Stegostoma tigrinum: one gene and its partner. The protein of the gene in region 2 interacts with the protein of the main gene of each other region in a pairwise test. Links are inferred from orthologs where the notes say so. Each region holds a gene or a part of one and is shown on either strand. Other genes may lie near its edges.

Region 1 (7,962 bases), on a different chromosome or scaffold from region 2:
AAGTTTAAAGCCAGTCTCTGCAATTGTGACCAAAAAACCATCAATTGTTATAGAAACTCATCTGATTCAGTTCCCTTTAAGGAAGGAAACCTATCATATTTATGCAGCCTAGCCAACATGCGACTCAAGACCACAGCATGTTGACTCTTAATTGCCCTCTGAAATGACCCAAGCAAGCTCAAGGGCAACAGGGATGGATAACAAAATCTGATCTTGGTAGTAAAACCACATCCACAAAAGAATAAATTTGAGAGAGAGGACTGTAATCCTGGATGAAAAAATGGTGGAAATTACAGCAGGTCAGGCAACATTCATAGAGTAATAGTAAGCTAATGTTTCAAAGGTCTCTACAGTAACTACATGTCTCTAGTGAAAAGTTATCTAGACTTGAAACATTAGCTTGCACACTCTCTCCATGGATGCTGTTTGACCTGCTATACTTTCCAGCAATTTTTGTTTTCAGTACAGATTCCAGCACGCAGTAATTTGGTCCTGAAATCTGGATCATAAGTTCACATTCAGACCTTTGTACATAAATTTTGATTACTTATGCAACCTCAGAGGGAAATCATATCTTGAATTAAAAATGTAAATCAGGAAAGAAATATTTAACTTACTGAATCCATGTCTATTCCAGCATATTCCAACATCATTCTAATCATCTGAACGAGGAATAATAACATTAAGGCCAAATCACAGCTTTGCAATCCACATAACTTGGGAGTCTAGAAGCTTTATGCAGTCCCATTGTTCAGCTGAAGGGAAGATACAATATAATCAGAAAGCTACATACAGAGATAATTTAAAACAAAAGTCATGAGAAACATTTAAAAATGTTTTTTTTCAGCCAAGAAAAAGCTCAACTCAGAACAAATGCAAACTTTTATACTATATAATACCACTGGACATTAGAGTAGCACACAAACCCATATCAATCTTACGACAACTGCTCACCCAAACCAAAGACACACTACCCACTATGGACATGACCAACAGCATATAAAAGATTCCCTGCAGAGGTTGTGACAAACACTACACTGGACAAGCAGGAAGGAAATTAACAACAAGGATACATGAACACCAACTGGCTACAAAAGACATGACCAATACTTGTCTCTATCCATGTGGATAAGGAGAACCACCAATTCGATTGGGACAACCCCAAGATCCTGGAACAAGCAGAGCAGAGGCAGACACGCGAGTTCCTAGAAGCCTGGTAGTCCATGAACAAAGCCAAAGATATAGAACCTGACCCCATATACACTGCATTGCGAAGGAAAACCGGAAGGGAGGTAATCCAGCTCAACAGACTCCAGAGTTTAAAAACCTGGCAAGAAAACACAATGGGGCTTCATTGGAGGTTGCACTGATGATGTTACCCAGCAGGGTAATGAAACATCTGCAGAACAACAAACCAGCTTGGCAAGCCAACTAACCACAACCTGAGCTACAAATCTACTCCAAAACCTTAGAGATACTATATAAGCCAAGAGCAGTTGAGTAAAAAAGTCTGTCTGAAGGTACTGCATTGCTTCTGTAACATCCTTGTAAAATGGTGCTGCTTTGGTCCTTAACTCCCTGTTAACACCACAGAAAGCTAAACTGCTTCAATGGTGCTAAACCTTTACTTTTCAAAAAGTAATTTGGTTGTTCATTTGAGGAGTTATGGTATTGGCATTATATTTAGTACATTGAAACAAAATGAGACTAAAGCAAAGCTCAACCCCTAACAGAGCTGATCGAGTGCATACATAAAATTGGCACCTATCCAACAATGTGGTATGTTGCCTAGATATGTCCTATGCACAAGACAAATCCATTCCAGTCAATTACTCTACTCTCAGTCTACTCTCGAACATCGGAGAAGTGATGGTGTTATCAACACAGTGCCATGAGGCAGCACTTTGCTTAGCAATAACCTGCAAACAGATGCTCATTTTGGGTTCTCCCAGGGTGACTCAGCTCCTGATCTCTTCAGAGGTCTAGTTCAGACATAGATGATATAGCTTAAATCCAGAGCAGAGGCAACAACAACTGACTTTAACACCAAGGCCACATTAAATCAACTGTGACATCAGGCAGCTTAGCAAGACTGGTGTCAATGAAAATTAGAGAAAACTGGTTAGTGCTGTATCCGACACAAAGGGAGATGATTGCGGTTGTTAGAAGTGAAGCACCTTACTCTCAGACATCTCCACAGGAACTTGTCAGGAGAGAGTCCGAAGCTCAAACATCTTCAGCTGCTTTATCAGCAACCTTTCCTCCATCATAAAGACAGAAGTTGGGATGTTTGCTGATGATTGCAATGTTCTTGACTCTCCAGACACTGCAGCAGCCCATGTCTAAATGCAGCAAGACCTGGACATTATCCAGGACTGGGCTGACAAATAACATGTGAACCACACAAATGCCATGCCAAGACCATCGCTAGCATGAGTGAATCTAACTATTTTGCCTTGACAGTCAATGTTATCATAATTGAAAGTCCCAACAGGGGGCATTCCATTGACCAGATGCTAAAATAGGCTAGCCAAATAGATATTATGTCTGCAAGATAAGGTCACAAGCTAGGAATCCAGCAATGAGAAACTAACCTCCCAACTCCTCAAAGCTTGTCCAACATCATGAAGGCTCAAATAAGGGGTTTGATGAAATAGTGTCCACCTGCCTGGACAAGTACATCTCCAATAACACTCAAGCAGCTTGAAATGATCCAGAACAAAGCAGCATACTTGATTAGCATCACATTCACAAACATATACTTCCTCCATTACCAACATTCAGTAGCACTTCACCAACACTCCTCAGACAGCACCTTCCAAACCCATGACCATCACCAACTCGAAGGAGAAGGGCAGTAGATACATGAAAACACCACCACCTGCAAGGTCCCCTCCAAGCCACTCATTAAGGCTTGAAAAAACAAACACCACTCTTCCAACATCATCAGGTTAATATCCTGGAACCATGTCCCTAACAACATTGTTGTTAACAACCTAGGCCTAACAGGTTCCAGCAGTTCAAGAATGCACTCACCACCAAAGGACAACTACAGACGGGCAATAAACACTGGAGTAGGCAGCAACACCCACAGTCCATGAGTGAATTAAAAAAGGTCAGTATGAAACCATCCTAGCATTCAATGTTCACAAAAGGTATCCTATAATCTATAATACTTTACATCTTTAAACATCTGTATTTGCATATTAAGATAGCTTTGCTTTTTAAAGTTTAAGCTCATGGTTTTCAATGTCTGCTGCTTATGTTATATACTTACCCTTTTTAACACTGCTGAATGTTCAGAATGAGTTCTAGACTGGTCTGGACACAGTTATAAAGTTCATACTTAGGGCTAGCCAGCATGAAGATCTTTGTAAGTGATGAGGGTCACCTCAAAATTCAGAGAACTAAAGAACAATGAATACAATGAACCCGCAGTCATGCAATCCAGTAATAAAAAGGTATATTACAGCTAGTTGTATGAACAACCAGATGCAAATCAGCAAGACATTCAATTTCTTCTAACCATTTTCAAAGTGTTATGTTCCACATTGGAAGCTTAATGAAATTTTGCTTCAGTATCTGGTACAAATTATTAATCTCCTCAAAGTATTCAGCAACAGAAAAATTAAACAAAAATTTAACATGAATCCAAATCCCTTAGTGAACATAAAGGTGCTGTTAGTATAGAATTCATAAATTTTGGAAGTCGATTTGCCTGATGATGCACCTCACACCCATTACTTGGTTTCTTTTGTCAGTGATATAACAAAGGCACCAATATGCTCAATCCCAGCCGAATAGCATTCCTAGACACTTGAAGCAAGAATAATTACTAAATGCGACTATCATGTTGGTTTCATTGCAGTACAAGCGAATAGCGACATGCGAATCCGTCTTGACAAGCGGCGTGTGCAGTAAGATTTATTTGACACAATCGGCACACAATGCTATTTCAGAAAAAATATTTTTAGAACCTTGTAGATACGGGGCTCCCCTGAATTCTTCGATAATGTGGTTGATCGTTCAGATAGCAAAAAAAATCCAATGTACAGAGATAACAGATCCGTCTTTTCTCGCCAAAGAGAACAGTGTGCACAAGGTTTCACATGATTGAATGAATCATTGAATCAGAGTCACGCAGCCCGGCCTGGAGGCTCTGTCAATGCCAGTAAATCCCAACAGTAAACAGGCTTAGCTCTCACTGGTTACTGGCAGACCCCGATGTCAATGAGATCCATTCAGACCCACTCCTCCCGCTACAGCCCCGCCTGGTCCGGTCTTCCCCTCCTCCCTCCCAGGGCCGCTCCGCTCTCTCGCTTCAGCCCCGCCCCCGGGTCCCAGCACGCACTGTGCCCCCCGCCCTGTCCGCTGTGCCCCACCTTCCGGCCTCTGCCCTGCCGGCTCAGTGCCCACCCCACCCTCCGGCCTCTGCCCTGCCAGCTCAGTACCCACCCCACCCTCCGGCCTCTGCCCTGCCAGCTCAGTGCCCACCCCACCCTCCGGCCTCTGCCCTGCCGGCTCTGTGTCTGCCCTCGGGCCCGTGTCCTGAAAGAGCGCGCGGACACCCACTTCCGGTGCGGCTCTAACCGCCGCCGTCGCGCGGAAAATATTTACCACAATCCCAGCCCCGTGTAACGGCGTGCGTTTAACAATCGGCACGGCTTCACTTCACCATTACTCAGCTTCTAAAAATTAAAATAAACGGCGGCACGTTCAAATCCACACCGGTAGGAGGTTGCCGACTGGGGGAGGGGGCGGCAATAAGACGTCGTGCGATAGGCTGTGCCGTGCGGGTGGATGTGAGCCAATGAGGTGGCGGGGTTTGAGTGGGTGCAGGGTTAGGAACGGGGACGGGAGGGAGAGGGTCGAGCGGAGAGCTCCGGGTTGTGTCGGTGGAAAGTGGCTGTCGTTCATGTCTCACTGAGGCCTTGTGTCGGTTTATTCCGTATGGAGCTTGCGGGCGAGTGATCGATAGGCGCGGGGTTATTGTTGATGAGTCATACAAGGTGGTAGGCGGGCGGGAATAACAAGGTAGGCGAAGGCCTATGCTCGGCACCGGGGCCCGGGCGGCCTCTGAGGCCGGTGAGCTCCCACATTTAAACTCTCCCTCGCCTGCCTCCACCCACCCCATTACCATCCCTCGTGCTCATCAGGGTTTTCATTTCATTTACACTCCATCTTGTTTTAACCGGTATTTTTAAAAAATGTTTCTGGAATTGAGGCCGGCACTTAGAATCTCACCTCTCTCTGTTTAATGTAATTTTTCGGCAGCAATATAAAACTGGACTCGAATCGTTAACTGTTTTATCGCACTACAGATGGTGCCTGTCCAGCTGAGTTTCTCCCAGCAATTTCTGTTTTAGGTAACGATAGTAATGCTTGAGCCAACGGGTTTTGATTTTTTAAAATCTTTTTGCGCTTTACGTGTGTGTTATAGTCTTTGATTCACAGCTGCTGGTTTACAATGCATAAATCCGGTTTCGTATTGCATAGAATACGCAAGGCTTTGATAATCTTACCATTTTTCCATAAACACCATGACCTTGGATATGGCACTAGAATGAGAACATTACATCACAGAAGAAGGCCTGTCAGCAGTTAGTCTCACTCCACTTTGACACAATCCAGTTTGATAAAACGTGTAAGGTTGAGGGGTGACCCTATTGATGTTTATAAAATCATGAGGAGCATTTATAAAGTGAATGACAAGGGTCTTTTCCCGAGGATGGGGGATTTCAAAACTAGGGGACATTTTTAAGAGATAGTAAGTACTGCTGATGCTGGAGGAACACAGCAGGCCAGACAGCATCAGAGGAGTAGGAAAGTTGACGTTTTGGGTTGGGACCCTTCTTCGGAAATTTTAAAGTTGAGAGGAGAAAGTTTCAAAAAGACCTGAGAGGCAACGTTTTTTACGCCGTGCGCTTTGTGTGTGGATTGAACTGTCAGTAAAAGTCGTGGATACAGGTACAGTTACAGCATTTAAAAGACATTTGGATAAGTTTGTGGATAGGAAAGGTTTGGCAGGATATGTGCCAAACACAGGCAGGTAGGACTAGTTTAGTGGACTGGTTGAACTGAAGGGTCTGTTTCACACTGATTCTATACTGAAGTAACTGCTCTTGATCTCTGGTGCTTCAGCTCTGGGTTTTTTTAAATAAGTGATCAGTTAGACTTATAGCGATTCGGTCAGTTCATTTAGCTGGATGGTTAGTTTGCAATGCAGAGTGAAACCAACAGCATGGATTCAATTCATGCACTGGCTGAGGTTAGCATGAAGGATTCACTTTCTCAACCTCTTTCCCCTTGCCTGAGGCATGGTGACCCTCAGGTTAACTTACCTCCAGTCCTAGCTGTGTGATAATAACATAGCCTTATTGTCTAGTAAGACTGTGGTGACTTTAGTTGGACTCTAGGTACTGCAATGGTTATTTTCCAGTCTTGGTCTGGTGTTGTCGTCTGAATCCTGTAGCTTCACTTGGGTTTAATTCTTTTGGAAATGTATGAAATGGCACTTGCATTTTGTTATCTCATTGTTCGTGAATGAATTTACTCGTGTTCACTAACATACAAAACGCTGCTACATGATCAATCAGAGTGTTGTCTACATTGATAGCTTAAATTAAGTTTAACTGAATATTGAATATGTGTAATTTGGAAATTATTGCTCAAGTTTAAGTACATGTTATTTATGTATTTCATTTGTCATTGGCCTAATGTGTATTCATTTTGCAGGGAATTCTTGAAAGTTGCTTAAAACATATGGCATAGTGGATGGTGGCACAATGAGTGGGGAGCCTGATGCCCTAGCAGTAGTAAACCAGCTGCAAGATTTAGCATCTGACCCCTTAAACAGGCGAGCAATTGTTCAGGATCAGGGATGTCTGCCTGGGTTAATCCTGTTCCTAGACCACTCAAATCCTCAAGTTGTTTACTCTGCACTATTGGTAAGTGTTGACTTGTCTGCTCAATGTAGCCCTGTTTTTAGAATTGACTATTGATACAAGTTCAATGTTTACTCAAAGATCGTGTCTATATCACTGTATGTATACATGTTTATAGTTGATTTACAACTTGGGTAACTTAAGAGCTTTATTGGCACAACTGATGGTGGTGGGGGGGGGGTGGTGAAGTCAAATGGGATTGTTGTGTTTTGTCACTTTGAGACTCATTTCAGAATAATGCAAAAAGTATTGAGGTAGGTAAGTCCCGGATCTTGATGGGATCTACCCTTGTTATTGAGGGAAGCCATATAACAAATTGCTGGAGCAATGACAAATCTTTGGGACTTCACCTGTAACAAAACAGGATACAGAGGAATGGAGAATAGCCAATGTTGTCCCATTGCTTAAGAAGGGTAGCAGGGATAATCCTGGAAATTATAGGCCTGTGAGTCTCACATCAGTGGCAGGGAAATTATTAGAAAAGATTCCTAGGGACAAGATCTATTCACATTTAGAAGCAAATGGACTCATTAGCGATAAACAGCATTGTTTTGTGTGGGGGAGGTTGTGCCTCACTAACTCGATCAAGTTTTTTGAGGAGTTGACGATGATTTGAGGAAAAGCGATTGTTGTCTACATGGACTTCAGTAAAGCCTTTGACAGGGTCCCTCAAGCGGACTGTACAAAAGGTATCACATCATATCAGGGTGAGCTGGCAAGATGGAAAGAGAACTGGCTAAATCAAAGGAGACAGGGTTGCGGTGGAAGGATGCTTTTCGGAATGGAGGTTATGACTGGTGATGTTCCACAAGAATCCGTACTGAGACCTCTGCTGTTTGTGATCTGCGTAAATGATTTGGAGGAAAACCTAGCCGATCTAATTAGTAAGTTTGTGGACAGTGCAAAGATTGGTGGAGTTGTGTAAAATGAGGATACAGTAGGATAGTAGATCAATTGGAGGTATGGGTAGAAAAACAGCGGATGGGGTTTAATCTGGACAAATGTGAGGTGATGCATT
Region 2 (7,528 bases):
TTTCATAAAGGCCAAAAACACTGCAAATTAGTATGTGTTGCCCTTTCTATATTCAAGTCATATGATGTTTTAGGTGCCTATTCACCCAAATGTGGAGCTGAGAGGGTTCCTCCCAACCTAGTCACAATTCACAACTAACTTGCAATTTTCCTTCATCAGACAAGATTACAGAGGAACAAATAGGAAGACACCATATAGGTGATTCCTGTTAATGGCAATATAATTATTAGGAGATGCGGCTGCAATCAGCATCCCAATTCAAGAAGCTTTACATTGCGGATGGCTGGAAAAAGACATGGCATGGGACCCTTCAAAGATAAATATACAATACTCTACATCTCCCAAAATTTAATCTTTGACCATTTAAAAATGCTTTTGTATACACAGCAGCTTCAAATTTAAAGTAGTTTGGGGTAAATACCAGCTATACAACAAGGTTGTTTATTCATAACTTCCAGCACAAGATTTATTCAAAACTAATTTGACTGAGATTCACTAGATGGCAACATTTCCCCCACAAAAATAAGTCAGTTGATGAAGGAAATACATTTTGTCAATATACGCATTATTAGGAAGCAACGCATTTCAGAGCTGTAGCCCCTTCGTTAGTCGTCACAGGCACTCAACTTCGATTAGATTAGATTCCCTCCAGTGTGGAAACAGGCTCTTCAGCCCAGTAAGTCCACACCGCCCCTTGAAGTATCCCACCCAGACCCATCTCCCTATAACCCACACACTCCTGAACACTACAGGCAATTTAGCATGGCCAATCCACCTAGCCTGCACATCTTCGGACCGCGGGAGGAAACAGGAGCATCTGGAGGAAACACACGCAGACACGGGGAGAACGTGCAAACTCCACACAGACAGTTACCCAAGGCTGGAATCGAACCCGGGTCCCTGGCACTGTGAGGCTGCAGTGCTAACCACTGAGCCACTGTGCCACCCTAACTTCCAAAGACCATTTAAGCTACATGAAAGGGAAAGCTTTTAAATATTACCCCTCCCATGCCACCCCTTAATTCTTTAATGGGAATTGAGCATCGCAAGAAAAGTTAACATTTGTTCTCCACCCTACTTTCCCTTGAAAGGAGTAGCTTGCTAGGCCATTTCGGACACTAAGAGTCAAAAACGTTGCTGTGGGTCTGGAGTCAGGGGTAGATCAGACCAGAGATAATGAGAACTGCAGATGCTGGAGAATCCGAGACAACAAAGTGTGGAGCTGGATGAACACAGCAGGCCAAGCTGCATCTTCGTTGTGCTTCTGAGATGCTGCTTGGCCTGCTGTGTTTATCCAGCTCCACACTTTGTCATCTTAGATCAGACCAGATTTTGCTCCTAAAAGGAAATTAGCGAGCCAGATGGTTTTAACAATTGTGAAACTATCACGACTTGAGACTTGCTTTTTATGCCAGATTTATGACAGGAATTTAAATTCTAGAAGCGAACATTGTAAGATTTGAATCAATGTCTCAACTGCAAATTAACTTGACCCTCTATATTAGAAACTAGTCTATTAACACTAGAACAGTCACCATCTCCCCATAACAAAATAGAACCCATGGCATGCAATATACCAAGGTCTAGGTAGGTGACATTTACGTTTTCTAAGCAGTTCCATAAGGGTACCAAACAGGCTTCTGTGAACTAATGTGATAAGAAGCGTTATTCAAGCATGTCACATGGTTGAAGTGGAGTAATCAAAGAGCAAGATTTCAGTAATTTCAAGGCATAGTTAAAGTGTCTTCCCAAATGAAGTAGAAGTTGATATGGCAGTTTATGTATTTAAGCCCAATTAACTGAACAATTCAAAAGTACGCTCCTGTTCTGAGATGAGATAGCATGAGTTGCCGATGCTGGAGAATCTGAGATAACAAGGTGTAGAGCTCAATGAACACAGCAGGCCAAGCAGCAGAGGAGCTGATGTTTTGGGGCTGGACCCTGAAGAAAACCTGAAACATCAACTTTCCTGCTCCTCTGACGCTGCCTGGCCTGCTGTGTTCATACAGCTCTACAACTTATCTCCATACTTCAGTACTAATGTTTTTCAATATCATAAAGCAAAACATTTACTATCTAAACAGTACTATTACCTGAAAACAAACTCGAGGACATGGTTTCAAAGGGAGATTTGATCCAATCATTCGGACGACACTGCGAGAGGATCCATAAGGTTTATTTTGCCATATTGGAATCATCTGCAAGGTAAAAGTTACCACAAAACAGTGGAATTTTCCATATCTAGAGACAATATATAGTTTTACACAAAAGTGAAATTTTAATTCCAAATTAGTGACAGCCACATTTGGAAAGAGGCAGACAGCACTTCAAACTCAATATGGAGTCATAAATTAATCTGATGTATCAAATAGCAAACAATATGGTTGTTGTAGGTTAAATCAAGGCATTCAAGAGGGTATTCAATGATTATTGGGGGGCAGGGGGCCAGTTTGCAAATGCAGAGCCATATCTAGCATAGGGTTAATTCTGTTCTGAAGAAACATTAATTCTACTTTCTCTCCACAGATGCTGCCAGCCTGCTAAGCTTTCCCCAGCAGATGTTTTGGTTTGATTTGCAGCATCCACAGTTCATTCGTTCATTGGTTTGTTTTGTTTTAATATTGAGTAGCCTGGTATTGTCAATACTAAATGTAATTTAGGCAGAAGTGGCTCAGAGCTCTGGTAACAAGCCCCTTACTATCAACAGAATTCCATCCTATTTATATAGTCATTATTTGTTGGTTTGCCCCACTTGGAATGCTGTAGGCCTAGAGCAATGGAGATGCCTAATCTGGTACAACAGCCCAACTGGAGTAAAAATCGGGAATTTAAAAAAAAGCCAAGGTCAATTAGCAGCTCGAGTTATTTGCAAACCAGCGATAACAAGGTCAAACTTTTCCTGTGGCTCTAATACACACATCTGTCACAAAAAAAATGCACACATTCTGAATATTACTGCATTTATTAAACGATAATTGCCTGATTTAAGTGCGTTTATTAAGTTTTAAAATATTTTTTCCATATTAACAATTAAGTCGAAAAGGATAAGCTTAACTTAATACTTAACATCGCTAGAAATAAAAGCTACGATAGTAACAATTGCTTATGACGCTTGGGCAAAAATTTTAGGCCCACTACTCACGGCAGAGAGAGGCTCCGCATAAAGTTAAGAACGTACCGTATATTCAGAGAAAGGGAGGGGGCAGCTGGCCCTTCCAGCATTAACTGCACCGACACATCGAGAATGATAAAACTTACGCCACCTCCTTCACAGAATCAAGACCCGGTGATGCGGGTCAAGAGCTCGTTACCATGGCCCTTTTAATAAACTCATCGCCTATTGGCTGCGAGGTCAGCCAGCAACCAATTACCTTTGAGGAAAGGGGGTATGTGGCACCGCGGCCTAGTTCTCGGTGCTAGAGCCGACCCCCAGCCGAGTGACTGGGAGAACCAGCCTCTGCAGAGCTTGACCAATCTGCAGCAAAAGCGTTGCCCCAGTACTTATTACATGCAGTAAATGCTGATTAATGTTTTCGGCGTGGTATTATGTTTGAGAGGGAATAGGAGTTTAGTCCTAGTGTTTACGTTCCCTCGGTCCAGTCAGATCTGATATTATTAATTAGTGAATGTTGTGTGTGAGGCTTTTTTAAGTCAATGTATGAAGATGGCTGAAATCATATCTACCAAAGATTTGGGGCGAAAAATTTGTTGTGGCAAGTGATTTGCTATTGCTCAGATTGGCTACTAACATTATTTTCACTTCCGTCTTATTGCAAAACTGTGCTGTTGAGAAAATAGTGGGAACATGTCATCAAATTGTCGGGATCTGCTGAGCGGTCAGCTTTACCAAATCATCTCCTGCTGAGCAATATTAGTTGAAAATCTTAATAACTGATATACGATAAGACGCATGTAAGTGTAAAAAAAAGCTCTTCTGCTTTGGAAATCATTGGTTTTTGATGTGCGATTTATGTTTCGATGTTTTAGATGTTTTTTTTAAGACTGTCGTTGAAAAAAACTGAAGAAGACGGGGAGCTGGGGTGAAGGAAGAACTCCGAATTAGAATAATGCATAGTTGCAGTCCAATCTTTGATATTTTGAGTTGCGGTCTAATTCTATATGTCATCATGGATGAGTGGGAAGCGCGCTTGCGTCTGAATCGGAAGATTGAGTTCGAGACCCAGGGTAGAGATATGACTGAAGGAGTGCAATGCCTTGCAAATAATATTTGGTTGTCAAATGGTGTATGTTCAGTCATCAGAGCTAGCATGTGGAGTTTTGGTGTCCAATGATGGTTATCCCTTTACCAACATCATGAAAATAGGTTTTGTGGTTATTATCATATTACTGTTTGTTGGACTCTATAATAATAAATGTTACGACATTTCCTACATTATAGCAGAGTGACCACATTTTAGAAGCTTTTGAAGAAACCCTTATGCCCCACGTTATTGGAGGTAATGTATTTGCATGGATAGAAAATTAGCTAAGTAAGAAAAAACTAAGAGATGTCATAAGAGGGGCATTTTGAGAGTGGAAACTCATAACCATTGATGAGCTCCAGGGATGGATGCTGGGGCCACAAATATTTACAATATATATAGTTGACTTGGATAAGGAAAGTGAATGTACCATGGCCAAGTTTATGGATGATCCAAAAAAGGTGGGAAGTCAAGGATGACATGAAGAGTCTTCAAAGAGATATAGAGAGGTTAAGCAACTGAGTAGAAATTTGGCAGGTGCGATCTAATGTGATGTTATGAACTTTGGCAGGAAGAAAAGAGGAGCTGTTATTTAAATGGAAAAAGATTACAGAAAGTGAGGGACAGAGGAATTTGGGAGTGACTACAGAAAGTGAGGGAACACAAATTTGAAAGTCACGACAGAAAGCGAGGGAACAGAGGAATTTGGGAGTCACTACGGAAAATGAGGGAACAGGAACTTCGGAGTCCTATTCCATATATCACAAAAAAGCATCCAAGTTCAGAAGGCGAATTGAATGTTGGCCTTTATTTCAAAGGGAATGGAGTATAAAAGTTTGCTAAAACTATTGAACAATTTCAGGTCCTTATTTATGGAAGACATACTGGCTTTGGAGGCACTCCAGAGAAGGTTCGCTAGGCTGATACCAGGTGTGGAGGGGCTATCTTATGAGGAGAGGTTGAGTAGGTTAGGCCTGTACGCGTTGGAATTAAAGAAGAATGAGGGACGACCTTATTGAAACACAGAGGATTTTTTGGGGACTTGCTAGGGTAGGTCACCTTTTCCATCCTGCCTGTCCTTTTCAAAAGTTATATACCTCTAAATATTTAATTCCTGCATTCGATCTCTTGTAACTATTATCCTAAGAACTTCATTCTTGTGATTCAGTGTAATAGTAGATTGCTTTATTTTCCTCTGGCAAGTTTGTGCAGATAGCTTGGAATCTCTGTTTGATAAATCTCTGTCCATAAACATAGTATCCACTTTGCTTTGAATCACCTGTTCTGGATGGAGCCACTCTGCAAATCAATAAGTATTTTAGCCTAGGACTAGTTGATTTGCGCTTATTATTCTTGGGAAAGTTTCTTATTCGTCTAAGTATCACATTCTGAAGAATACCTGTGTAGATTGCATAGAGGATTGACCTTTGAATATCGCTTTATCTCTTTCACACTTCTAAGACCTCTGGATTTTCACCACTTTCTGGTGTTCAATCCAAGCCCATGTTTTTGTATTGAATCATCAGCATGCCCACTTTAGAGGTCTACTCTGCCCCGTCTCCAAATGTTTCAGTGACTGCCTATCTATTCAGCTGTTTGTGTATTTGTGAAAAAATATCCTACTACTGTTGTTTCCAGTGAAATCAGTCAGATCAACACAATTTGGTATTTTGCTTCACAATATTTCTTGGAAAGCTAAATGCTGGAGAAGGATTGTTTTAATTATTCATTCATGGGATGTCTTTCATTGGCTGGGCCAGTACATATTACCCATCCCTAGTTGCCCTCGAGGGTGGTGGTGAGCTGCCTTGTTGAATCGCTGCAGTTACTTTGTTGTAAGTACACCCATGCTGCTGTTAAGAGTGAGTTATTATAATTTATATTCTATTATATATTACAGATATTGAAACTTCATTACTAACCAATAGAACCACAACAGGCATGTGATGTGATAAAAACCCTTGGCCTAAGAGTCAAAATTCCCATGGGGAAAGACTTGCATTAATTGAAAAGTATTCTACAAGAATTGCAGCTGCATTTGCAAAGGCATGGAATTTTCTAAGTGCAGTGCTCAGGTACAAAAAAATTATGCAAATATCCATTAACAATAAAAAGAAGATACTGTCTTAAAATGTGTGTAATACTGAAAGAAATGGAGTTTTTTTGTTAAGGTTCTTAATCACAAACTCAGAAAAGGACATTGCCGATGAACAATAGGTGATTTACATATTAAATATATACAAGTTGAAGAAAAAGCTTAAACATGACCAAATACATGCAGAATTTGACTTGTCATTGTGCATGCTCATGTAGACAAATTATTAGAATATTTTCCATTCATCACTTTCACTTCAAATACGTAGGAGAAAAGTCTTTATAAATATTAACAAATTACTGTTCCATACATTATTAAAATTGCCCATTCTTTCTTGTCAGTTGTCAGATGAGGTAGGAACATAAGGCCCCTCAAACCTGTTCTGTCATTCCAAACAATCTGATTATTACCCCAACTCCACTTTTGTGTTTATCCCCAAACGTCTTGACTCCCTTATCAATCAAATATCTGTATAACTTAGCCTTAATTATATTCAAATGACTGAGACTCCAATGCTGTTCTGGGAAAGAGAATTCCATGACCATAAACACTCTGACAGAAATAAAAATTCTCCTAATCTCTGTGTTAAATAGGAGACCCCTAATTTTTAAATCATGTTCCCTACATCTAGACACTTTCATCAAAGGGGAACATTGACTGATCATCCACCTTGTTAAATATCCTCTCAGGATATTTTCTGTTCCAATGAGACCACCTTTCAATTTTCTAATCCCCAATGGGAGTAAACTTCAATCTTAGATCTCTAAATAACGTGCCTAAAATGCACATAATCTGTTAACTATCCTTTGAGGATAGTGCCCCAGTAGTGCAGTCAGTAGGTGTATCTCTTGTTATGCGGCAATATAGTAAAATACCATATTTAATTAAAAAACGAAGAACTGCACATGTTGGAAATGTGAAACAAGAAAAAGTGCTTGGGAAACTCCGCAGGTCTGGCAGCAATTGTAGAGGGAAAAATAGAGTGAACTTATTGAGTTCAATGGCCCTTGTCAGAACTGAAAATAGTGGGAAAGGATAGTATCTCTGCCGGTAAGGGTTCGGAGTAGAGGGAGGAGTGAATAGAATATATAAAGACAGTGGTAAGAGAAAGGGAGAAGGCACATAATGAGATTGCTGCTGATGATAAGCTGAGGGAGTGATAAATACTGAGTAGGGTGTGAAAGGGGTTAAAAATTATTTAGCTGTGCTGGGACAAATCCATACAAATCAG

What was found.
Region 1: the proteins of mtfr1l (region 2) and armc1 interact in binary tests that used the Homo sapiens proteins (3 or more experiments, as listed by UniProt). The two-hybrid records come from large-scale screens. The link is inferred for Stegostoma tigrinum from reciprocal best matches to the Homo sapiens genes MTFR1L and ARMC1.

Annotation. Positions count from the first base shown.
Region 1 is NC_081358.1:32,273,360-32,281,321, forward strand, and holds the start of armc1 (armadillo repeat-containing protein 1), read left to right. Parts: upstream 1-4,816; 5' UTR 4,817-5,085; intron 5,086-5,110; exon of another isoform or gene 5,111-5,366; intron 5,367-5,419; exon of another isoform or gene 5,420-5,967; intron 5,968-6,735; 5' UTR 6,736-6,785; coding exon 6,786-6,947; intron 6,948-7,962. Other genes in the region: mtfr1 (mitochondrial fission regulator 1), read right to left, coding at 618-683.
Region 2 is NC_081377.1:37,102,698-37,110,225, reverse strand, and holds the start of mtfr1l (mitochondrial fission regulator 1-like), read right to left. Parts: upstream 3,347-7,528; 5' UTR 3,179-3,346; intron 2,199-3,178; coding exon 2,094-2,198; intron 1-2,093. Other genes in the region: si:ch211-15d5.11 (nuclear receptor coactivator 7), read left to right, coding at 3,389-3,513. UniProt on the Homo sapiens protein: Mitochondrial protein required for adaptation of miochondrial dynamics to metabolic changes. Regulates mitochondrial morphology at steady state and mediates AMPK-dependent stress-induced mitochondrial fragmentation via the control of OPA1 levels.